4 linked regions of the Drosophila melanogaster genome follow. The protein of the gene in region 2 purifies or fractionates together with the protein of the main gene of each other region. This does not show direct contact. Each region holds a gene or a part of one and is shown on either strand. Other genes may lie near its edges.

What was found.
Region 1: the proteins of Nnf1a (region 2) and Spc25 purify together in Drosophila melanogaster (affinity purification with mass spectrometry; 2 studies listed by BioGRID). This does not show direct contact.
Region 3: the proteins of Nnf1a (region 2) and Spc105R purify together in Drosophila melanogaster (affinity purification with mass spectrometry; 2 studies listed by BioGRID, with this or other methods). This does not show direct contact.
Region 4: the proteins of Nnf1a (region 2) and Nuf2 purify together in Drosophila melanogaster (affinity purification with mass spectrometry; 2 studies listed by BioGRID). This does not show direct contact.

Annotation. Positions count from the first base shown.
Region 1 is NT_033777.3:12,960,004-12,963,770, forward strand, and holds Spc25 (Spc25), read left to right. Parts: upstream 1-1,741; 5' UTR 1,742-1,832; coding exon 1,833-1,959; intron 1,960-2,022; coding exon 2,023-2,239; intron 2,240-2,713; coding exon 2,714-3,038; 3' UTR 3,039-3,246; downstream 3,247-3,767. Other genes in the region: grsm (granny smith), read right to left, coding at 1-314. UniProt on the Drosophila melanogaster protein: Acts as a component of the essential kinetochore-associated Ndc80 complex, which is required for chromosome segregation and spindle checkpoint activity during meiosis and mitosis.
Region 2 is NT_033778.4:20,585,685-20,589,235, forward strand, and holds Nnf1a (Nnf1a), read right to left. Parts: upstream 1,555-3,551; 5' UTR 1,490-1,554; coding exon 1,389-1,489; intron 1,333-1,388; coding exon 1,120-1,332; intron 1,046-1,119; coding exon 931-1,045; intron 726-930; coding exon 570-725; 3' UTR 538-569; downstream 1-537.
Region 3 is NT_037436.4:20,798,625-20,806,427, reverse strand, and holds the start of Spc105R (Spc105-related), read right to left. Parts: upstream 6,019-7,803; 5' UTR 5,950-6,018; coding exon 5,923-5,949; exon of another isoform or gene 5,886-5,922; coding exon of another isoform or gene 5,862-5,885; coding exon 5,758-5,861; intron 5,706-5,757; coding exon 4,960-5,705; intron 4,884-4,959; coding exon 569-4,883; intron 507-568; coding exon 54-506; intron 1-53. Other genes in the region: tzn (tenzing norgay), read right to left, coding at 6,438-7,285, 7,440-7,638.
Region 4 is NT_033779.5:7,063,894-7,067,710, forward strand, and holds Nuf2 (Nuf2), read right to left. Parts: upstream 1,945-3,817; 5' UTR 1,873-1,944; coding exon 1,572-1,872; intron 1,512-1,571; coding exon 1,139-1,511; intron 1,082-1,138; coding exon 568-1,081; 3' UTR 538-567; downstream 1-537. Other genes in the region: Sem1 (suppressor of exocyst mutations 1), read left to right, coding at 193-304, 360-487.

The sequences.
Region 1 (3,767 bases), on a different chromosome or scaffold from region 2:
ACGTTCAGCACATGGTTCTTTACCAGACGAGTGATGGCATGAGCCCGGGATGCCGTATTGTGTCGGGATGCCTTCAATGGCAGGGCAGCCACGGTGGCCACATCGAGATAGAGGGATACCTTATCGGTGGGCGCGGGATGCAGACAAGCGACGGCATTCAGGAAGGTCTCCTCGGTGACGCGCGGACTGAGTTTGCTCTCCAGATGACTGAACTTCAGTAGGTTTAGATGGCGCAGCTGGCCGATGATCAGGACCGGATGTGTCTGCGGATCACTGCAGCCTAGCGACTCGTTAAACTTTACGTCCGTGGCCATCTGTAAGAGAATGTGTGTGCGAATGAGTAAAGAATGGAATGGCTAGCCAAATCCCAGTGATAAGCCGCCGGTATTATCTTATCGGTGCTAATCTGGTGTTTAGCGCTCCAAGTGCCCCACTTGCTTATCAGTCGACGACTTTGCACCACAGGGGCGGTCAATGGATGCAGCCATCCATAAATCACGAGAGCCAAAACCGGCGAGATAAGCAGTGGCATTTGGGTTATGGGTAGGGCCATCTGGACAAACACAGGGGCGTTACTCATCGGTTGCAAGCGGATGCAACGCTGTAGGGGAAGTTTAAGAATAGCTGACCCATATTAGAATGGCTCAATTAAAGTAGCTCCATTGTGAAAAATACTGCAGTATAATTTTATAACTAAAATTCTAATAAAAAACAATCAATCAATAATTATGTTTACAACTAAAAAGCATTGGGTTCATAAAATGAAGCTTCAAAAGAAAAAAATTACCTCTAAAATATTTTAACTATAATAATCACCTAATATACATAAATATAAATTGTATTGCATTTATAATGAACAAATTAAGATAAATTGTAGTAGCAATATGAATTCTAATAATTTACATAACATTTTCTGAGTTTTAGCGAATATTAGAAAATCTTATAAAATCAAATAACGTTTTTTTTTACAAATTATTAATTTTAATATATTTTGGTACAATAACTTAACTAAGTAGTTAACATTTTCAACTTAAAGCCATCAATTTTCCAGCTTTACAGTCGCAAGGCAATAAAAACATAAACTACCGAAAAGATATCGTTCAGCACATATCTTTACGATGCTCCATAAACTCGCATGGGTTTTATAAGCACGATATCATTGTGCATAAAGCGATTTAAGTTTCTTAAAATCGCAAATGCCACATGACCTTGAATTCGGTGCAACAAGAACAACAAGTGGGTCGTTGACCGACTCGCAGCATTCGAAACCGAAAAGTGGATAAACATCTAATTTACCCATTTTCAATTGGATTTGACTGGACACTCGATATGTAGAAATATTATGCAAATTCTATATTCTCTATTTTTAGACTCTTTGTTCGCGATTTCTTCGTTTGCAAAGCGTTTTTTGCACATTTTCTGCCTTTTTATTCGCTCACCTTTTTGAAGCGGGCGCTGCTGTAGGTGCGAGCGAGATGGTTGCGTATTGCCTGGACGCAGAGCAGCAAACGCATGAAGTGCCTGCTTCAGAAATTGCACAAAAATTTGCCAAAAGTGCCGACGTTTTATTTTTATTTTATTTTGCTGCCAATTTGACTTGCAATTTTTTGCTTGCCGGCTAATAGAGATGTGACTTGCACGACGATAAGTCGATGTCAGCTATCGATAAGTGCAGAACCACTTTTTTCTTTCAGCCTGGCCACCCTGCTGGTGTCGTGGAAGTGTCATCCCTAATGAGAAGTACCACCACTAACTGGAAAGCAAAACAAGCGTCTGGAAAACGGCGCTTAGTTTTTAAAGATTTTAATTGATTGCAGTAAATTGAGTTTAAAATGGCAATTATTATGACTGAATCGAGTTACGAAAGGCGCGTAAAGGCTTTGTACGAAAAACAAATTCACATGGAAGCCCTCGAGGCGAAATTCATCAAAAAGGTCTTTAAATTCAACAGCAATTTGTGTGAGTTGGAATTTATCTCCATATATCTCCATTTCAATTGATATATTTCACTAAATATTTTAGTGGATGTCAAGGAAGCAGCTTCGCGCCATCAGCGGAAAGTGGGAAAGTTGCAAAAAGTGCTCATGGAGCGGCGGGAGGAGTTGGACAAGCGAGTTTCCTTCATAGAGGAACTTGATCGAGAACTGGAGGCCACCAAACTTCACAATTTGGCCATGAAAGATTGGTTTAAACAGCAGAAAATGCTGGCCAAACAGCGCAAAAACGAAATCATGGAAAGGTCAGGGATTAGGTCAAAGATAATCATATTAAGATTTTCTTAGCACGAATGGCTAGCTAATATTTTCCGGGCTCCAATGGGTTCGATCTTGTCCTTATTATACATAAAAATGACTATTCATATTGATTTTTAGTCCATCCAAAACTACTATTGGTACAAATATATGTATATGACAATAATGTATTGTCAACATTTATGGTCTTTACATGCGTACAAGTTGCAGTGAGAGACTAATCAAATACTTTATTTACTTTAACTAAATCTATTAGGAGCATCATCAAAGTCTATAAACTGCAAATAATAGATATAGTTGAGGTCGTGTTCCAAATAACTTATTTAGCTTACATACATAATTTATTTGCATAGCCTCACATGCGCTCTTATTTTTCAAACAAATCCGATTTTAATGCGGTCAGTTTTAAACTTAGTATACTATAATGAGAGCAATGTGTGTTTATTTGTTTTATTTTATAGCATTCACACGCTGTCGAAGACAACAAGAACCTATATAAATCAAGAAGCGCTGCCGGCACGTGTGAAGGGTGTCACTGTACTCCGTGGCGATAAACGCGACCAGTTGATACCCTTTGATCTGAAGGCGACCGATGTGGAAGGACTGGACTCACTGTGTCAGCATCTCGAGAGTCTAAATGTGGACGTGGCGCAGTGGCAGCAGCTTATCTCGCTGGCCATGGACATGGCTATGGAGTCACGTGCTCCCACTACTCCGCCCAAGGAAGCAGACAATTGCAAGTCTATAATCGAGATTGATCTCACATCGCCGATGAGCCACACCTGACTTCCGATTAACTGATTTACTTGGATTAGGGGGAAGACCCTTTTCCAATGGAGCACTTTATTTTAGCATTATAAATAGTTGGCTTCCAATAAAAGCTCAATTGGGAATTCATCTTAACGAATTAAGCATCTTATTATAGCAGTTTTTTAGCCATTTAAGTACTGCTTGTAATTGTTTAAGTGCAGTGTAAATTATACATATATCTCCCAAAATTTTTTTTTTTTTCTTTTTTCTGATATATCATCTTCACTGGAAGCTTAAAAATTTTTAGAGATATCGCCAAAGAAGAGATATCGCGAAAGGCTCCAGTTTAAGTAGTTCCAATTCAAACTTATTCAAATTAAAAACCAGTTATTGAATTTATTTTAAATCAAAAGTCTTCTTATCATATTTAACCAAATTTACAACTTTAGTGATAATTATATCATAAATTTGGTTTAATGAGTTCTCTATTACTATAAGGTTTTATATATATTTCAAATGTTTGGGTAATTTCCTTATAACTATATCAGAACAAGACCTGTTTTATTAAACACCTTTCTTTAAGATTTGTATGATTATCTGAGAGCTTTTGACATGGCGGCCGGTGTTAATCGAGAAATCTCGAAAGTCACAAGCGACTCAGAGTGCCACCGACTAACCGATCTATGAATAAACAGCGATCCATATAGATTGGCGCTGCTCAATTGCTATTGTCCGGCGAAAGTTAGAGCGACCTATCGTGGCTAC
Region 2 (3,551 bases):
AATATAACTGAAAATCTGTATAATGAGTGCAGTCTCACAAGGGAAATTAAAACGAATCTTTTAAAAAACATCTTTAAATGTATATTATTAGTTACTTTTTGAGGAAGATCTAGCAAAAATTCGGTTCTTTTTTACACTAATACCATTCCTTTGATTTATACTACGCAATCAAGTATGTATGTATGGGAGTGTGTAAGCACACAGCGATTCTAAGAAATCACTCAAAAAACACATGCATACATACATAAGTTTACACATGTTTAGCTAAAAACTTCGTACTATTTATCGTATTCTTTATAGAGATAACTTGAAATGTATGTATATACATTCAATTTTAAAAGATTTTTTGTCGCCAATACAAACAATTGCTCGTTAATATTATGAGCTTATTGCAATGATACGAATTTAAATAAATTGTGAATGTCAATGACAAATGCATGTGTACATACATATGTATGTACATTAATGAATATGCAGATTAGTTTGTATGAATTTCCATTTTAAGACCCCCCACTCAAATCATTAAGCTCATAGCGTAGTATTTTATTTATTTATTGCATTTAAGTTTGTCAGAAGTCGTTCAATGCTTCGCCTAGTTTAATAAGTTCTGTCTTAACTTTCTCGTACTGCGACAATTGCTGCTCCATTTGGACAGTCAATTTCAGGCGCTTGTCATGGACATGTTGGAGTCGCTCGCGATTGGCATTGCTCTTGGCCATAGCAATCTGTAATTGAAATATAAACAAATGTTAGTTATACTGATAGAATAACAAACCTAGATATGTACATATGTATATGCAAATGATAAACTATAGAAATGAAATTATTAAACTAAAAATCTTCTCGAAGGTTCTTTAACTTTAGGGATCTTTTGGTACACTCAAAACAGTGCAGTAATAGTACAAAGATTAACTAATATCCAAATCGCACCTCAAGTTCTTTTGCCTGAGAGGCCAGTTGCTGCTCCATGAATTCCACGCTGAAGTCCAAAAATCGCATGCGCAGCGGCCGAGTGAGTTTATCGGGTGCTGCAGTGTTCACGTTCCTATAGATTACAATAGAGTAGAGTAGAGTTAGCAATGCAATCGAATCGTATTATGTTTTATGCTGCACATGTACCATTTCTTGCCCTCGTAGGCAGCGAAATGTTCCTTGAGCATTTCCAAAGTTTGCAACTTATTTGGCACATCGTTGCTGGCGAAAAAGCATCGGTTCATTTCGAGCACAACCTTGGTCATCAGACTGCGAGTGCGATCTACGATGCTTTCGGTGTCCAGAGCGGATTGCTCGTGCTCCTGGTAAATGGCATCCCACGCTTGCAGATCTGCGCAGCTAGATATTAACGATTTTTAATATTCGTTATCATGTTAACTATGCCTGCTGCTTACCTCAAGTCGGCAAAGATTTGTTTAATGGCTTCCTCGTAGGCCTGTTTCACCTTTGGTCCCACACCCTCGTGGCGTTTAAATGCGGCTTCCGAATCCTCCATTGAAATAATTTGTTAGTAAATTCAAATTGTAAACAAAACAAAACAATGCCACATTGGTGTGACCAGTTGCAAGTTTCTGCAAAACACCAGGCCGATAGAAATTATAGAGTATGGTGACAACCCTGTTATTGGTTTTTTTTTGAGGTATTTCCACTAGCTCTTATTACTCATAAGTCCCTTGTAACATAAGTGATGTTGAAAATATAAATATATTTCATTCAGCGGTATGGTGAGAATATGTGCCTTTTACATTACAATGTCAAACAAAATGAATAAATACCACCGAACAGTATTTTTAAGAATAAGTGTTAAACCACCGTTTTCAACCATCATATATCGATAGTCCAGGTATCGATGACAGGGTGATACGCCATTTTCCAATTCCTCTCTAACTTTTGTGCATTTTAACTCAGCTCTAGTGTGTTTGTGCTATACATATTTTGAATAATATTTTACCAGCCAGTGTTTAGTGGCGGACAAAATCGTGTTGAATACCAATTGAAAGTTAAGTGATTAAGTTCGGTGGCATCAAAGTCTTCGTAGCTGAAGGAAAACAAAGGCATCCCGATAGGTGAGTTTTTCTTCTACAGTTTTTTTTTATCTTTTGCCTGGGGAAACGCGAATGAAAAGCGAATTTGCGAGGCAAATAAACCAGGCTAAAAGCAATGTGTGTGTGTGTTGTGTGGTCTTGTGTTTTCCTGAATACATTTCTAAGAAAAAGATTCGCCAATACATGCCGATTTTTTATAGCAATATAGTGTGATTTTTAACTACACCCCCAAAATCGTTCTTTTGGCTTCGGCGCTTGAGTTTTACAGTTTTTCTTCCTTTCATTTTATTACAACCACCAGGGCACACAGAAATATTCCTAGCTCTCTCTCGCTCTGCCGCCCTGTTCTCTCTGCCTCTCTCGCTTGCTCGCACGCATGCCGGCTTTTACTTAAAGTACAGAGTCGCATAGTTGTTGTTTTTATAATTGGCCCATCGCTTTAGTCGCTTGTTTTGTTTTTCACATTTGCTGTTTTTTCTTTTCTTTTCGTTTCGTTGCTTCCCTTTTTCTTTTATCTCCACGCGGTTACACCGGTGCATAAATTTCATTATAATTCGCTGAGATAAAATCAAAACAAAATAGTTTCGTTGTTCCGAAAGCAAAACTCCCACGCTACAAGACGAGTTCAACGCTCGTTGGCTTTTTACAAATAAGGAAAAGGCCTAACCTATATTTTATTCATAGTTTTTAGCATCAATCGATGAGGTACGTAGAAAACGGAGAGGCAGAGGAAATGGCGAAGAGAGGCTAATGAGAGAGAAAAATACAAATGGAAGCTAACTGTTGTTGTTTCGCTTGTTGGTTGGGTGCAGCTTATTACCACCTACTTGCCTCCCCCCTCTCTTCATTGCTCCTCTTCTTTTCTCTTTGCCCCCCTCCCCCTCATTAACCCATTGGCATTTGCAGCTTTTTAACAACAGCTCTCTTCTTCTTCCGTCTGCAAATCTTCTCAGCAATTCTGCAACTTTTGCTTTTCGTTCTTTGGCGATTGTGACGAATCTCCTTTGTCTCTGTTTAGATTTCCAGTTTTGCGAAAAAATTCGCTTTTATTTGCCTTTTTTGGCCGAGGTATTTTTCGTTTGTTTCTAGCGTTTATTTCGAGTGAAGCAATTCCAAAGATATTTCGCGGCTATTTGCACGCGTTCGTTGACATTGAACTGAATTCTCACGTAAATGTGTTGAGTTCCAAATTGGTCAGCAAACAAATTGTAAATAGTATTGCTTAAAAATTTAAATATATATTATATTAACAAATCAATAGGCATGACTTGTTGAAAATCTCAGTTGTTTGCTCAATTCTTTTTACAAAATTTCTATGACACCAAATTTGACTTGTAAGATATTTCAGAGACACACCTAAATAGTTCGTTTTGTTTATTCTCTTGGTATTTGTTGCTCCATGGAACTAAAGAGTCAGTCACCTATACTATTCTACCCGCAGATTTCTGGCACTTTCAAATTAACAAGTTAACATATTAAAATCATGTTCATATTGTTTGTTAGTTTTAACAC
Region 3 (7,803 bases), on a different chromosome or scaffold from region 2:
AGGGATCACTTAAATTAGTAATGTATTGAGATACACCTTGGAGAAGCTTATACCTTGTTAGCCTCGCTCTCTTCTGCGCTAGAAGATCTAAAACTTTGTGTAACTTTTGCTTGACTTCTGCAATTCTGCGATCAATGCCGTTGAGAAATTTCAAGAAAGCCGTCTCATCACTGCCCTCGATCTCGTCGCTAGGATTCATCGGCAGGCGGAGACTTAGGTGGAAGTTTAAAAAGTGTTCACGCGATGACCATTGGTCCTTGGGAGTGGGCACGTCATTGTCTAGTTGAATGGAACACACGCTAATGGTGGACTCCTCTACTAAGTCTTCGATTTGGTAGTTCACCACGATTCGGATCGTGGTCAGCTGTCGGTTGTAAAATATCATTTGCTGGGACACTTTACGCTGGTAGTCGAAGATCCAGTTGGGCTGCTGTTCGGTTAGCAAACGTTTGAGTCTCGTAAAGAAGGATTCCGGGGGCATGGCTATGTCCTTCTCTTCTGTTCTTCTGTTGTAGAAATAGTAAATGTTAAAAAATGATTCAAAATTCCAAGTGTATTCGGTACTCACAGCTTGCACATTTCAAGAAGCGCCGCTTTGTTCCACTTGGTGGCCTCCTCCTCCACCCTGGTCTGCTCCATTGAATCGTCGGAGTCTTGGTTCCTGGACAGACGAGCCTCCTCCTCGATCTCCCAGTAAGTGTTCACTTCCTTCCACGACGGCCTCTGCCTTATATTGCGCAACCGTTGCTGTAGCCTTGAAAAGTCCCACAATTTCCGAGGTGGCAGGACAAATGACTCGCTACTTAGCCTTGTTTCGCTCAAAGTATGATTGCAATTCCTGCACTTTTTGCAGGAGCCTTCGCTGCCAGCTTTTACCATTGAATTCAGTTGAGCCTCGCAGATTTCAGGTTGTAAGAGATGCTGTTTTTGCTTCTGCTCTTCTTCCTCCTCCTTCTCGTCGCCATCATCGTCTGTTTCCTCCGCCAGCGTGGAAACCAGACTTAGGTGCTCGTTATCTATCTGGTGGGGCTGGTCCTTCCCCTCACCACCCAAATCTTCTGCGGCTGCAAAGATGGTTGTGTTCCCGGTCAGATTGATGAATTTTGAGATTGTTGCTGCGTAGCTCTTGAAGGTTCTATCGTTGGAGCTGCCGCTCTCTCTTTCGCTAGACTGGCGCTGCTGCTCCTTTTGCTCATGGAAGTAATTATTAACATCGGAGATAGTGATGGGTTTCTCCTCTAGATCCATGTTATAGGTCGATTTTCGTGGCAGCTCCAGCATATTAAGACCACCCTGTTTGTTCATCTCAGTCACTACAGGATTGTAGTCCCTTACTGGCTGCACCGACGCGTCCAACTGGTCTACCGTGTAGGTCCTGCGTGATTTACTTGTCCCTGTGTGCATCTGAATACTTTTTGTCCCCCAAGAACCTTCCTGATCCTCCTCCAATTCGATGTCCATGTTGCTATTCGGAAACAGATGCGTGTTTCGTTTCTTGGACTCCGGAAGGTTGGGCGTGAGATGCGTGGGTAGGCGCTTTAGTTGGACGAGATTTTTTGGAGTTCCAAAGCCGGAGGCATTCGCCTCAAGGTCTATCGGCACTGGTTGGTACATGGACAATTTTTTCCGATGGGAAGTCAGGAGAACTCTTTTGTGAATCGGGGTCTTGCACATCTCTTCCTGATCCACAAATTCAGTCAAGGACATTCCCGGCGTGATTGCATTAAAGTCCGGACCCCTCGGCCTAAACTGCGGGCTTTGAAAGTCCATTGATTCGGACATAGCAATGGATTGCTGAGTCTTGGCACTGGGAGGAGTGCCTATCTCTTCGTTTTCTACGGAATTTTTAGATGAATGAATGGGTCCTTCTGGTTTTTCTAGCTTTTCGGAAATTTGGTGCTTGGTCCTTATGGGGTAGTTATGTCCGAATATCCCCTCATCCTCTTCCATGGGTTCCGATAAAAGTAGCGTATGTCTTCTGGATGACGGAACATCAGGAACCTGGCTTCTTTGGGGTAAAGTCTCTTCCACGGATTGTGAAATTTCTGGTCTGTTGGAATCCAAATCCTCGATGATAGGCTCCGCCGAAACCTTCGAGCCCATTGATTTATTTTTAGAAATTCGAGTGTGTTGCGCGGGTACATCTTCTTCTATGGACTCAGTCAGCAGCGTAGTTCTGCCCTTCACCGCAGGTTCGGATTCTCTTTGCTGTTGGCCCGGAATATGATCCTCCTCAATGGGTACCGGTATATGCACGGATTGTCTTGTTTTGGCAGCCATATATCCACCGGACTGTGGAACATTTAAAGAGTCACAGATCCCATTTTGTTTGGTCATATTGTGGTTATTAACATCTTCTTCAATGGGCTCTGCCATGATAAGGGTCTTTCTGTACCTGGACCTCAGAGGCCCCACTGATGAGTTTTCATTTACGGGTTCTAAATCCTCCTGAATAGTTTCATGCGAGATGAGGGTATTCCGCGGCTTCTGGTGGAGATAGTTTAGGGGTTCCTTGGGAGGAGTTTGAACCGATTCGGAAAATTGCTGTTTAGCTATTTGATCAGTAATTGAAAATAGGGCATTTTCAATGGGCTCGGCGAATGACTGAATAATTCTGGCGGTCAAAGATGACTCCTTTGAATTTTCCAGCGGCTTACGAACACTCAAATCCTCTTCAATGGGTTCGGCAGTAATAAGCGTGTGTCGTCTAGAGGTCTTCCTAGTGATTTTATCCTTAGATATAGGAAGTGGCTTTGGCTGATCATTTGACTGATTGAAAACATCTTCCTCTATAGGCTCTGCCATCAGCAGAGTTTGACGAGATTTGGAAGTTTGAAATACCGCTTCTTCAGAAGATTCTTTAGTAAATTGACCTATTTTTTCAGCGATAGACTTATTGCCCTCTTCCTCTATCGGTTCCGCCATCAAAATGGTTCGCCTCGATCTTAACGTTCTATTTGTGCTGGCATTCGTACTTTTATCTTCGTTAGTTAGTTCTTCTTCAATCGGTTCGGACATCAAAAGAGTGTGTCTTGGTCTGGAAGTTGACGAACCAGTGATGTTAGTTTGCACCCTACGTTCCGTTTCTCCAACATCTTCTTCGATGGGCTCTGCCATGATGAGCGTTTGCCTTGGCTTGAATCTTTGCTGTCTAGCTAAACTATCCTCCTTTTCAGCTGGCAAGTCCTGCTGAATATGTTCTTCTTCAATAGGTTCGGATAATAATAGCGTGTGCCTCGATTTTGATCGCTGCTGCTCGGTTGATTTATCTATTGTTTTTTGCGACACTATTGACTTATTCTTTGGCGGTGGAAGACACATTTCCTCCTCTAAAGGTTCTGACAAAAGGAGAGTTTGTCTGGATTTAGCGATCTTTCTTATGTGGTTCTCTCCAGGTTTGGCAATATTATATTTATTGTTAAATTCCGTGTCCTCCTCCATGGGTTCTTCGATCAGGAGGGTTTGCCTAGCTTTGGATCTGCTTTGCGAAGTGAAACTCTTCCCCTGGTTTAATTGACTGTATTTCTGAGGTCCAGTCTTGTTTCCCTTTAAAGCACATTCCGGTAAATCTTTCGCATTGTGAAATATTTCCTCCTCCACGGGCTCCTCGAACAAAAGAGTTTGTCTACCCTTGGATTTGTTTTCTTGATGCGCGACTACTTTTATTGGTATGTGCTTTTCCAAAATGAAATCCTCTCCCTCCACCACCAGAGGTTCCGCTAAGTGGAGAGTCTTTCTTTTGGAATTGTAACCAATGTTACTGCTCATTTCCTCTTCCATAGGTTCCTCTAATAGCAGCGTTTTCCTCGCTTTAAGTTGTTCTCTAGGGGCAACATTTTTAGTTGGTAACATATTACTTTGGTTTATGTCCACTTCCTCCAGTGGTTCTGCTAGATACAGCGTATGGTTCACTTTGGATTGCCCTGTATTCATAGGAGCCGCATTGGGCTTTAATTGTAAGTTTTTGAGAGGGCTAATGATGTCCTCCTCCATGCTTTCCTGCATCAAAAGCGTCGCCCTGCGCTTGGTTTTAGTGCAGGCCCATGTGTTGCGATTTTGGTTGCTGTTCTGCTCGTTGGTTGTGGATTTTTCGTAGATAGTCTCCTGCGTGGTAACCGATATCTCCTTCCTAACGTACGTGGATTTCGTTGTTTCATGATCCATAGATTCATTGAGATGTAAGGTGCGACGCGAGGTAGCAGTTTTCAATGCAGGAATAGCAGGGTAATTTGTCTGACTGAGCTGCATTTCTTCAGCCATAAAATCAGTTTTACGAGTCTTGGAACTCGGAATGGGTTGAAAGTCCTGACTTAACGTAGGATATTCCAAATTCAGTTCCGAGGTTTCGCAAGTTGTCTCCCTTCTTGTCGAGTTCTTCGACGTATTTCTCGACTGCGTTTCGTCGCCTAGTCTGGCGTGGGCCAAGAAGTTTGTATTGTCAAGCATCATCTCATCCGCCTGGGATAGTCGATACTTCTGCTTCTCATCCGCCGCCTTTAGTTTCTCCTTGTTCTTTCCAACTGGACTTGTTTTCGTCGGCGTCAAGGTCATGTTCTCACTGAAATTTAACATTCCTCGTGGCACTATGCTTCTTATATCTTTCTTTGGACTATTATCTCCCGCGCTCTCCTCTTCAAGGCCGCACCAAAACCGATTTTTCTTGGCCTTACGATCCGTGGTCGGCGTTTTTGGCCCGTTCGGAAATATCTGGATCTTACCCGTCTCCAGGTCTTCGTTGAGTTGACGAAAATTGAGTTTCTTGCTTATGTTTTTCCCCGAAATCATGTCGAATGGTATCAGCATCGACTCATCTCTCGTAAAGTTCATGGTGCTATTAAGGCTCTCAAAGGAGTTCGATGGCGAACGATCTCGGTTATTGGAAACTGCAAAATAATGTGACAACCGAAAACTTGCTAATTAGAAACTATTGGGAAGGGATTTAACTGAGATAATACTAACCATTTAATGAGAAGGATGCACCTCCAGCTCCCTGTTGGGTTTTATTCTTGGTCTCCCCCACGTCCATGAAAAGCGATTTCTGCGCCGGAGTTTTTGTCTGGTTTTTGGTGGACTCACGCATCTCCCTTACAATGCTGTCCTCTTCGAGCTCCATTAAACTTTGTTGAGTTGGAGGATATAGAGTTGCAACTGGAGCTGGAGCGGGAGCAGCAGGATTGGGATCAGTAAATCCCAATGGCGTGATGTCCATGAAGGAGTCACTCACAGCCTTGACAGCTGGCGTGAATACCACCTTCTCCAGTTTGTTTGTTGCCACTTTGATGGAGGATTCCTCACAAACGCTCGACGCGATTTGGTGGCGGTTGACGAGAGATCCGGATATCAGATCCATGGTCTTGTCTACCAGCTGGCGGTCGCTGAGACTGCTTTGCAACAGTTTTCGCTCCTCGGAGGTCATGCAAAAGGACACAGCAGAGATTGAGGATGTCTTCCTCGATTTGTCCATCATTTCGCAGGGCAGCAGGGTGAAATCCACGCTGGCCTGCAGATTCACGGACAGATCGACATGTTCCCGCTCGCAGTGGCTGGGCAGGGGAATGTTCTCCTTGTCGGCATGTTCGGAAACCCTCGCTACTGATGCTGATCCTGTGCTGCAGCACTTCGATCCCGAGCTGTCCTCAGCATGGTGTTCCGACACCTCGTACGAGTCGTCCCAGTTGTTGGTCTCCTTGGTGTTTACGAATTCCCTATGTGGAGGGCGGGTGAGCGTTGTACATCGCATATATCTACTGTACGTACCTCACGGACTTCTTGCCACTGAAACTGATGCGTCGCTTGATTTGTTGTTTGATCGCGGACGTTGTTGTGGTCGCCTCATCTTCCTTGGTCGGCACCTTACGCAGCTGCAAGAAGAGTAGGTCTACCATGAGCGCTTCTCAATCAATTAATTTTCGAAGAACCCACCGAACTTCTGCGTTTGTTTGCGTTCATCGCGCCGTGCTGTTAACTTGTTTTTATTTCAAAATCCCATTGGAGAGACGCCGCGATTTTTGTGTTAATGGCAGACGGTGTTGCCAGATCGTTGGCGATAGATCGCTAGAAATACCAAAAGTATTTTTGATATGCCCAAAAGGCACTAACGCCTAACCAAAACCGTTGTGATTCAAATTTTACGAAATTTGCTAAAATCTTTGGATTTAAAAAATTTGTTAAGTTCATTGCTCTATGAATAAAGTTGGAATCAACCAGTACCCTCTTCTCTAGGGTGTTGCTAGACCAAAATACCAAAAATAAATTCTTTTAAATAAAGCTGAAGAAATAAATTTATGTCATAATTTGAATAAAACAAAAAAAGTTTTAATCCGATAAATTGCGAATAATTAAAAATCCATTGTCCGCACTTCACACACATCGTTAATTTTATTAACCATTAAAATCCAATATTAAATCACAAGTTTCGAAACTTTCGAGGAAATAGATCAGGCTTTGAAGGTGTCCTTTTCCTTGCGCAGCTTGCCCATGGTGACGACGGGATCGGTGGCTCCGCCAGCGTGCTTCTGCACGGTGGCTTCGTGAACGCGCATAAAGGGGTTCCAGGACTTCTCCTCGCCAATGGTGGAGGGCACAGTGGGATCCTGGGAGGCGCGCCGGTGCTTGGCCCACTCGATCCTCTGCTGGATGACCTCGTTGTCGGGCTCGACGTGACGGGCGAAGCTCATGTTCTGCAGCGTGTACTCGTGGCCACAGAACACCTTTGTGGCGTCCGGCAAGGCGGAGAGCTTTGTGCACAGCGCCTCGTACATTTCCTCGGGAGTGCCCTCGAAGAAGCGGCCGCATCCGCCCTGGAAGAGGGTGTCGCCGGTGAAGACGGCTCCCTCGCCGCTGCCCTGCTGCGCGGTGATGTGGTAGCAGATGTGGCCGGTAGTGTGGCACGGCGTGGACAAGCACTTGACATGCAGACCACCAATGGTGAAGGTGTCGTCCTGCTGAACCTTTTTGTTCAATGCCCCGATGCGGTCATCGCCGCCATACACGTCCAGCTCCTTCTCCCACAGCTTGAGCAGCTTTTCATTGCCACCGGCGTGGTCCCAGTGATGGTGCGTGGTCAGCACCTTGCTGAGGGTCAGCTGCTGCTCCTGCACCGTCTTAATGACCAGCTCCGGCTCCACGGGATCCACCACGGCCGCCTCGCGCGTCTTCGTGTCTACAATCAGATACATATAGTTATCCTGCAGGGCCGGCAGGATCTTGATCTCCATGCCCTCCAGCTGCACGTCCTCCAATGTGCTGTGCATGCCTCTGAAGCCGACTTTTCGTAGTTTTTGCACTGAAACGAAGCGATGGTTTCACATTTAGCTACATAGATGGCCAACAGATAAACAGACTGACTAGCTACGGACGAACAAAAAGCGTAGATACTGGGAAATGAAATTGCAGCACCGGGAGAGATTAGATTAAACACGTATGTACGGATAGATTACGCTTGACGAGACTTGGACAGATGACGGGCACAGCCAGAAAACGCCGCCGAATCGCTCCGAAACCAGGGGCATCCGCTCGAGGAATCGTCCGCCAGGAACGCAGGAGCAGTGTCGGATTGCTGGACGAACCTCGGAAGTAGGTGGCCGTCAACTGGGTCTCCACGGAGGTGGCCACGCTGCGCCAGGCGGAGGCCAACATTCTGTACTTTCGGCTAGATAAACTGAAAAGCGTGTGCGATTCGAAATGAATTAATTATGGCTCCTAATTACAGTTGTTTTTTTCTCCAAATCTGCTATGCTCGGGCGAGTGTGACCGTTTGGGGGCCGGTAAGGGAAACCACTGACGGGTACACCATCTACCGGA
Region 4 (3,817 bases), on a different chromosome or scaffold from region 2:
AAGTTAGATTTGACATCACTGTCGGGTGCCAACGGTATTTTGAAAGTATTTTTTCCTGTTCACTTGGGTATATTTCGACGGTACAGCTGCGGTCACACAATTAAAAGTGACTGGCATCATTTAGCAACAAAAAACGCGAATAGCGTCAAAAACATTGTTTTATCGCCGTTGGAATTAATAAAAGCACACAAAATGTCTGCCCCAGATAAGGAAAAGGAGAAAGAGAAGGAGGAGACCAACAACAAGAGCGAAGACTTGGGTCTCCTGGAGGAGGACGACGAGTTCGAAGAGTTTCCCGCCGAAGGTTGGACGCAATAATGTGGTGGTACATCGGCAGTTTCTAATCACTTTCATTGTAGATTTCCGCGTTGGCGACGACGAGGAAGAGCTAAATGTGTGGGAGGACAACTGGGACGACGACAACGTGGAGGACGACTTCAGCCAGCAGTTGAAGGCCCATTTGGAGAGCAAGAAAATGGAAACGTAAACCGGCACCGACCCCTTTGTTCAGTCCTAACCATAAAAACGAGCTGAGCTGTTTTGCATTAATAGAATAAAATCAGTATATTAAGTGGAATTCATCTGCCAGTTTTGTCCGAGAACCTCATGGATTTGCTCATTTAATATGGCATATAGCTGATCTTGCTCCAAATTTTGCTGGTCTAGCTCGATCAAGTGATTATTCAGATCCTCCAGACGTTTCTTGCGATCCTCAACATCGACCTGCAGCTTTTTGAGTTCATTTTGCACCTTGTGATTCTCGGCATCGTTTTCCTGGTTTCTTTCCTCGTACCGATGTGCACAAAGAGCGAGTTCCTGCTTCTTGGCCTCTGCATCCTGAAGGAGCTTCTGATAATTAACTTTACAGGTGGGCAACTGCTTTTCCACTGCCTCCAGCTGCTTGAAGCTCTCTTTGTAATCATCCACCTTGCACAGCGAAAGCACAGCCGTGGCCTTCTCCAAAGCGGTGGCTATATGTTGACTGTTTTCGATCATCCGGCGATGTTCATTCGTCACCTGTTTTTTACTGGCCAGCTCCGTCTTGCAGCTCTCGACATGCGACGATGCGCTCTTAATTTTCCTACAATGTTTGACATTAAAATAAGCACAGAATCTAGGCTTGCCCGACAGCACTTACTCTCGCAGCTCTGTCACTTGACTGTCCTCCACCACTAGCTGTTCCCAGTGACCGATGCGTTTGTCCAGCTCACCCTGCTGCTGCTCAATGAGTTCCAGAGTGTTTTCATGCTCGCTACAGGACTTCTTCAAAGGTAGAAGCTTTGCTTGAGTATCCTGCAAATCTTTCTTGAGTTTGTTTATGGCCACTTCGCAATCCTTCGTCTTCTGGCTGCATTGCTCCAGCTGTTGACTTTTGGCCTTCACCTCGGCGGTCAGCGAATCCTTTAGCTTAATGGCCTCCTCTACAGGTCCCAGCACCTTCTTTTTGAACACCTTGTAGTAGGCCAGATGGTTGAAAAGGTAGCTCAGCGTGGCGAGCGTTTTTTTAACAGCTAATAGCCAAAGAATTGTTTAATAATAATTGCTTATTGTAAGACCGGCTGCCGGCTCACCTGGTTTAATTATGTCCATATAGGTGTACGTCTTGTTGGGAAAGCTGATCTGGACGATGCGCTCCACTTGGCGGCACACTCGGATAAGAAAGACGCGCGCCTCCCGCGACGAGTGACCGAGTTCGGTGCCAATCTTATAGGGCGGCTCCAGGCGAAAGCCGAAACTCCGCAGATAGTGCACCATGATCTTGGTGACAATGGGCTCGGTGGGATTGGCCAAGTCGCTTTGGCAGATATTGATGTCGGGCATCAGGCAGTTGCCCTGGTCCATTACCCTTTCAATTTCGACTGATAACGCCATTCAATCCAGAGTTTTAATTTTTAATGGCAGTTTTTGAATGGAACGCCGCTAAGGGATCAGATTGATGTGACCAAAGCTTGCTAGCCCCAAAAAACCACTAAAATACTAACTCAGAATTTATGTGGTTTTCACACCTATAGTCCTACAGCAGATTCTCGGGTTTTTTTATCCGGTTTTCTTTCCCGGCAGCTAGAAAATACTGCATTTGTTCAGCGCAAACTTAAAAAGTAACGGAAAATCTGGCTAAAGTTACTAAGTTACATTTTTTATTGGTGAGTGAAAACTCTGGCTTCCTCCAGCGCTGCAAAAGATGATGCTAAAAATCTGATATGCCCGTACGGGGTTTTCTCCAAAACTTGGCCAAAAAAGGTGGCACAGCGAAAATAAAGACTGTTTTGTACTGCTAATAAACATACCTAACTATCCCTATCACTAGTTTTTTGATTTTCCAAAAATAAAATTTTTACAAAATTTCGCATTTTTGATAAGGGGTACCCTCATCAAAATTTGCAAAAAATTGAAGCCTCTTGGATCTTTCAGGTTTCAACACATATGGATAGGGAATTAAGTTACGAACTCAACGAGATATGACATTCCAGTTTTGGACAACTATTCTTATTGCTATTGCAAAAAACTCGTTATTTTTGTAACCAAAAAGGAACGAAAAGAAATTTTGCCAAAAATCGTATATTTCCAATCGCTGATTTCTCCATAACTTGGCCAAAAAAGGTGGTACAGTGAAAATAAATACTGTTTTGTACTGCTAATAAACATACCTAACTATCCCTATCACTAGTTTTTTGATTTTCCAAAAATAAAATTTTTACAAAATTTCGCATTTTTGATAAGGGGTACCCTCATCAAAATTTGCAAAAAATTGAAGCCTCTTGGATCTTTCAGGTTTCAACACATATGGATAGGGAATTAAGTTACGAATTCAACGAGATATGACATTCCAGTTTTGGACAACTATTCTTATTGCTATTGCAAAAAAACTCGTTATTTTTGTAACCAAAAAGGAACGAAAAGAAATTTTGTCAAAAATCGTATATTTCCAATCGCTGATTTCTCCATAACTTGGCCAAAAAAGGTGGTACAGTGAAAATAAATACTGTTTTGTACTGCTAATAAACATACCTAACTATCCCTATCACTAGTTTTTTGATTTTCCAAAAATAAAATTTTTACAAAATTTCGCATTTTTGATAAGGGGTACCCTCATCAAAATTTGCAAAAAATTGAAGCCTCTTGGATCTTTCAGGTTTCAACACATATGGATAGGGAATTAAGTTACGAATTCAACGAGATATGACATTCCAGTTTTGGACAACTATTCTTATTGCTATTGCAAAAAAACTCGTTATTTTTGTAACCAAAAAGGAACGAAAAGAAATTTTGTCAAAAATCGTATATTTCCAATCGCTGATTTCTCCATAACTTGGCCAAAAAGGTGGCACAGCGAAAATAAAGACTGTTTTGTACTGCTAATAAACATACCTAACTATCCCTATCACTAGTTTTTTGATTTTCCAAAAATAAAATTTTTACAAAATTTCGCATTTTTGATAAGGGGTACCCTCATCAAAATTTGCAAAAAATTGAAGCCTCTTGGATCTTTCAGGTTTCAACACATATGGATAGGGAATTAAGTTACGAATTCAACGAGATATGACATTCCAGTTTTGGACAACTATTCTTATTGCTATTGCAAAAAAACTCGTTATTTTTGTAACGAAAAAGGAACGAAGAGAAATTTTGTCGAAAATCGTATATTTCCAATCGCTCATTTCTCCAAAACTTGGCCAAAAAAGGTGTCACAGCTAAACTAATGACTGCTAATAAATATAACTAACTATCCCTATCACTATTTTTATGATTTTCCTAAAACGAAATTTTAACACATTTTCGATAAGGGGTGTAAAACTGGGCGACACATTTGATACAT